Macaca mulatta: one gene and its partner. The main gene of each other region encodes a partner of the protein of the gene in region 2 in a complex. Links are inferred from orthologs where the notes say so. Each region holds a gene or a part of one and is shown on either strand. Other genes may lie near its edges. The genes, in order: CRNKL1 and CWC22.

Region 1 (3,834 bases), on a different chromosome or scaffold from region 2:
ACCTGTGAGAACCTAGTCAAGCTACTTAATCTCTCATGCCTCAGCTCCCTCATCTGTAGGATGGAGAAGTTCCTACACTGCAAGGTTGTTATGAGGATTAAACCACAATATTTGTAAAGTACTTAGAATAATGCCTGGCACATAGCAAGTACTATAAAAGCTTTTGTCAAACTAATAATATTAAAATTACTAGACATAATTAAGATCTTAACACTGTCACCTAAAGAGAGAAGAGTAAAAAAATAAAAAGATCTTAATACTGCATTGTAAAGTTGATTCTCATTATTTGTGGTAGTTATGTTCTATGTAGTCACTGCAAACACTTAATTATTGAGTATTGAACCACTGTGCCTAGGGGAAACATGTATATATACAATCTCACATTCATGATCATCTTAAATCCTAAAAAGAACTCATCCTAGCAGATTCTATCTTCATTATTTTGTAAGAAAAGTGATTCAGAAATGTTAAGCGATTGGACTGAGGCTGCCCCACTGACAGATTCAAACTCCCCAACTGGCCCCAGGGCCGGAGCTCCTTGCACTACATGGCACTGGCCCTTCCTGTCTCCAAGCTCTGGGCATGGTTATACGAGGTTAAGACCAGAAGGCAGAGCCTCGCCTTGCTGGACTTCATGCTGTGTGCATGTCCACAAATGACTGTGAAAGTGCCACAATTACTGATTTTTGGGGTTACAAATAAATTTTAGCAAATATGTGATTTTGCAAATATGGAATCTGTGAATAATGAGGAATGACTGTACTTCAGTTTCAAAAGTGCTTTCATGTGTATCATTTAATCTTCACAACAGCCCAACAAAGGTGTTTTTATTCTTGTTTTTAAGAAGAGGACACGAAGACTCAAAGGAGTTAAATGACTCACTGGAGCCACACAGCCAATAAACAGTAAACCTTTGATGAACTCCAGTAACGGTAGTAATGACCAACACCAACCTTAGAAAAACAGGACTGGCAAGGGCAGCCAGAACCTTAGTACAGTTAGTCCTCCAGCCATGGGTTCCATATCTGTAGATTCAACCAACCCGAGATAAAGTATTCATGAGAAAAAAGTGCTTCTATACTGAACATGTAGTTTTTTTGGTTATTATACCTTAAAATACACAGAATAACAATTATTTACATAACATTCACATTACATTAGGTATAAGTAATCTAGAGATTATTTCAATTATATGGGGGGCTATGCATACGTTACATGCAAATACTACATCATTTTATATCAGGGACTTAAGCATCACCGATTTTGGCATCTCCTTGATGTCCTGGAAACAATCTCCCAGGAATATCATTTTCCATGAGGAAACATTAGTTTTCAGCACTACAATAAAATAAACCCAAACTCTCACTAGAAAAGACTAATTACCCAGATCACAAATTTTCATTCTGACCAATCTCTTTCCCTACAAAACATAGGGAAGCTGATAAACTGGCATTCTTGACTTCTAGTCTGATGTCAATGACTGTGTGTCCTGACCATGAGACACCTCTACAGGAGCAGCAGCACCCAGGACAATCATGGCACCACTCAGTTCTCGTCCAAAGGATATATCGCTCATAAATGGTGCGGGCCCGATCCACCTCTTTGTATCTCAGTTCAAAGTTGATGTAGGAGTGCCAGGCTTGCTCCTCAGGCTGCCACTCCATCCAGCGCTCAAACACCTGCCGGGCACCGGCAATGTTTCCCAACATTTCCTCCATGTATGTGTACTTGTACCTTTAACAAAATCACCCGAAAATATCTGCTGTGGTTTAGTTCTCCCATTGTTGAATGGGAGGAAGATTTAAGATTTTATCTTTCTTAAAGGTTAAATCGAACATGTTTTGTTATTGAAATATAAATCTGAAAAAGGGTGAACCATTGGAAAAAAAGATTTTTTATTAAAAGTTGCCTAGTTCAACAAGAAGCTTATGAACAAAAGATTGCAACCAAAATTTTAGTTTTGATTACATAGCTGTAGAACATCACAATTATGACTTAACAGACTATGGGACATTAAAAAGCATTTATGTTTAAAGAAAAAGTAGGATGTAAAATTAAACTATCATCATGTAAATAAAATAAATACAGAAAATGTGGAACTTTTCTAGGCTACAAAAGGCTGTTTTATCAGAAACTTACCAGAACTGATTGACTCGAGGCAGCGTTGTTATGGCCCGGTCCCAGATATTTCGAGCATGGTTGACTTGGCGATTCTTCATCTCCATTTCTGCATATTTCAGCCAGAGTGTAATATTTCGATAGTCTACATCTAAAGCACGCTCGTATATGGATCGAGCCCTTAAGAAGCAAGATTTGCAGGGCATCAAAAGTAGTGCACACAACACATGCAGCGGTTATTTCACACTATCTGGAATGCCCTGATGTTTTATTAGGTGTCTACCACGAGCCAGGTTCTGGGCATAAGATGATGAAAAGATATAATGCTCTCAAGTACCTTACAAAGTCTTATAGAAAGACATGCATGCAATTATAATGCAATGTGATTTATGTTATAGTCAAGATCTGCACAGGAAGCAGAGAGGAAGAAATGAAAATGTCTGGTGGAAAAGGCTAAGTAGTAGGTAACTCTAGAAACAAGAACTCGAGGCAAGTTCCAATTTACCAGGAAACTAAGGTTGGTGTGGAGGGGGTGCTCATTCCAGGCGAGGAGAACAGCCAAGCCTCACAATAAGGAGACATGATATATTCAGGGAGTGGCACGTACACAGGCGCAGCGGGGGAAGGAGGTATGAGGGGAGAATGCAGAAAGCGAGACAACAGGAAGGGCCAGATTGCAATTTTTATTTTTTTGGCCATTGGTTTTCAGCTAAACATTAAAAAAAAAAAAAATCTCAATATATAGAAAGCAGATGAAATTGTGCTACTTTAGCTACAGCTGACAAGATCAATCTGTAAAGTGTCTCCCGCCCCGCCCTCCGGGACTATTCTACCCCAGTGCTCCTGAGGCCCTCAAGGGAACCCTAGGGTTTCATGGAACCATAGTTGACAATTTCTACCCGAGGCACAATCTTTTATCTGTGCTTTAACTTTTTCTTCTTTTCTTTTTGGTATCTGTTAACCTATGAATCATTATACACAAAACTACACTTTCAGCAATTTTACCTCTGAATCTCCTTTAGGCTTTCTTCCCATTGTGCGTATTTTATCCAGTTACTAATTACAGTCCTGTTTTTTCTTATGTTATCTTCAAAAGTCTGGAAGAAGGCAAAAAGGGTCAAGTCAAAGGGCAAATGACTAAAAATGACAGCACCCTTGGTCTATTTTAAGTCTTGTACTAAACTGGTTATTCATTTCGTTCATATTTAAGAGAAATTACATCCTGGAATCCTTGAGGAATAAGAAATCCACTACAGAAGGTTACAATCAACTAACTGATACTTTAAAATAGTCTATGCTTGTCCCTAATAAAAAATATTTTGACTATTACCCGTAAGTCCTCTGGTAACGTTCAGAATTTCATATATAACAGAATTCATGCTTTAAAACAGTCCCACATTCTAGAGTGAAGAGGTCAAATCAGATCCCAAAGTCTTCTCATAGTCCTTTTGCAGATCTCAATTCCTTTTCCTTTCTTCTCTTTTTTCTTTGAGACAAAGTCTCGCTCTGTCGCCCAGGTCGGAGTGCAGTGGCATGATCTCGGCTCACTGCAGACTCTGCGTCCTGAGTTCCTACGATTCTCATGTCAGCCTCCTGAATAGCTAGGATTACAGGCACTTGCCACCACGCCCGGCTAATTTTTGTATTTTTAGTAAAGATGAGGTTTCACCATTTTGGTCAGGCTGGTCTCAAACTCCTGACCTCAGGTGATCAGCC
Region 2 (2,780 bases):
TGTGCTGGGATTACAGGCATGAGCCACTGCACCTGGCTTGAAATATTGTATATTCTTAAAAGGCAGAGGCGGGCAGATCACCTGAGGTCGGGAGTTCGAGACCAGCCTGACCAACGTGGAGAAACCCTGTCTCTACTAAAAATACAAAAATTAGCCAGACATGGTGGCAGATACCTATAATCCTAGCTATTCGGGAGGCTGAGGCAAGAGAATTGCTTGAACCCAGGAGGTGGAGCCGAGATTGTGCCATTGCAATCCAGCCTGGGCAACAAGAGCAAAACTGTCTCAAAAAAAAAAAAAAAAAAAAAAAAGGCCGTGTGCAGTGGCTCAAGCCTGTAATCCCAGCACTTTGGGAGGCCGAGATGGGCGGATCACGAGGTCAGGAGATCGAGACCATCCTGGCTAACACGGTGAAACCCCGTCTCTACTAAAAAATACAAAAAACTAGCTGGGCGAGGTGGCGGGCGCCTGTAGTCCCAGCTACTCAGGAGGCTGAGGCAGGAGAATGGCGTGAACCCGGGAGGCGGAGCTTGCAGTGAGCTGAGATCTGGCCACTGCACTCCAGCCTGGGCGACACAGCGAGACTCCATCTCAAAAAAAAAAAAAAAAAAAAAAAATTAAGCATTTGGTAAGACCCTGTGTCATCAGACTTTCTATTCAATCAATTTGGCTTTGCATCCAGTTTATCTGAGTTAATAAACCTACAGTGTATCGGTAAATGTGATTGTTATAATTATGAAATTAAGATTGAAATAAAAGCTAACTGTCTTTTATTTTACACATGCAGCTAATGATGTAAGAAAGAAGGGACATGGAAAGACCAGAAGTAAAGAAGTAGATAAATTGATCAGAAACCAGCAAACAAATGATAGGAAACAAAAAGAAAGAAGACAGGAACACAGGCACCAGGAAACAAGGACTGAGAGAGAAAGGTCAGAAAAACACAGAGATCAAAATTCAAGAGATTCAAATTGGAGAGATCCTATAACAAAGTACACATCAGACAAAGATGTTCCTTCTGAACGAAATAACTACAATAGAGTTGTGAATGACAGAGACCAAGAAATGCATATAGATTTAGAAAATAAGTATGGTGATCCCAAAAAGAAGAGAGGAGAGAGAAGAAATTCTTTTTCTGAAAATGAGAAGCATAGATACCGAAATAAAGACAGTGAAAATTTCAGAAGAAAAGATAGATCAAAGTCAAGGGAAATGAATAGAAAGCACTCAGACTCAAGAAGTGATGAAGATAGATATCAAAATGGTGCCGAGAGACGATGGGAAAAATCTAGCAGATACTCTGAACAATCCAGAGAATCAAAGAAAAATCAGGACCGGCGAAGAGAAAAGTCTCCAACAAAACAAAAATAATTCTACAAAATGACATAAACTGGACATGCCTTATATTCAGTTGAAACAAATTATTTTTTACTTTGATTGACAAACTTTATAGAGAATTCTTGTATAAAGTACTGGTTTGTATTTGTAAATTTAAAAAATGTTTTCACTTTAACATGTTTTATAATTGATACATCTCAAGGCCCTATACATAAAATTATTTGAAAAGATTCACTAGAAAGGGATGTAAGTCTTGCTTATATTTTGTGAATAAAATGATCAAATGCTCATTGATTCAGTGATGTTTTTTCAATTGACAAAATATTTTTTTGAATTGTTTAAGAAGCTGTTATAGTGAATTATCAGTGCTTTTTTGTTTGTAACTGAAGACCAAAACAGGTGAACCTTTTCAGTTTAACATTTTTGCTTTGTTAATGAGATGTTATGAATATTTTTCAGGTGGTCACTTTTTTTTTCAAGTAGAGGATTTATTACAATTTTCATATTAGGCTTTGAACAAAGTATGTAATGTGTAATTTTTTTCACAAGTGTTGGTAAAGCTAGGTGTATGTTAGTCTTTAAACCAATACACAGTTTATAATTAGAACTTCTCCCACAGGAAATTTCTTCTCTCTGGACTCCTTGATATCATTTAATTGAAATTCTTTGTGATTAGTGCATTTTTCTCAGCCTTGAAGTTATATCACTGTTGATGAATTAATGTGTATTTAATTTTTAGTTTAGATTAATAGATCACTGGCAAACATATAGTTGTGAAATATGCAAGCAGCCTAACTGTAATTTCTGGTTTTTATACGAATTTTAAGGGTTTCCATCATTGTAACTGTTAACCGATTAATTAATATGACATTAGTTACTATTTTTGAAATAAATATTTCCTCTAAGATCTTAGACTTGCTGACAAACATTTGACCTTCCTTGCTAAATATAGACTTCTTGTGTTTGCTCACCTTAAAGGTGCATATAGTTCATTTTAGCCAATGTTTGGTTTCAGGAATAGTGGGACCACCATTTTAATGTTTAGTTTTTGGGCATATGCTTATTCAAAATGTTTCCTATTTTTGTTGTTTAACTTGAATATAAATAACAATAAAATTCATGTAAATAAATATTCTCTCCTCCCCACCAACTCACAAAAAGCATTCATTTGAATGAGACAGCTTGGATACATTCCTTTTAGTGTTTTTTCCCTTTGTGTTGGTTAAAATTTGGTCTCATTGGAAGGGACTATCATGGACAGTGCATTCCACAGAACTACAAGCTGAGCAAATTGGATTTAACAAACATGTGGGCCATGAGCCCTAAGAGAAATAGTTTATTTTTTTTACCTGAATCCTCATCTTCAGGGTTGGTAAAAAGTAAAAAACAGTAGACTAGAAATTTTAGTTTGTTTTCGCCACTTTAACCTTAGTTTATGACTT

The links.
Region 1: CWC22 (region 2) and CRNKL1 share a complex: the UniProt entries of both Homo sapiens proteins name them as parts of the minor spliceosome. The link is inferred for Macaca mulatta from reciprocal best matches to the Homo sapiens genes CWC22 and CRNKL1.

What each region holds. Positions count from the first base shown.
Region 1 is NC_133415.1:63,975,647-63,979,480, reverse strand, and holds part of CRNKL1 (crooked neck-like protein 1), read right to left. Parts: intron 3,216-3,834; coding exon 3,124-3,215; intron 2,299-3,123; coding exon 2,140-2,298; intron 1,735-2,139; coding exon 1,568-1,734; intron 1-1,567. UniProt on the Homo sapiens protein: Involved in pre-mRNA splicing process. As a component of the minor spliceosome, involved in the splicing of U12-type introns in pre-mRNAs.
Region 2 is NC_133417.1:84,878,646-84,881,425, reverse strand, and holds the end of CWC22 (pre-mRNA-splicing factor CWC22 homolog), read left to right. Parts: intron 1-787; coding exon 788-1,371; 3' UTR 1,372-2,264; downstream 2,265-2,780. UniProt on the Homo sapiens protein: Required for pre-mRNA splicing as component of the spliceosome. As a component of the minor spliceosome, involved in the splicing of U12-type introns in pre-mRNAs. Promotes exon-junction complex (EJC) assembly.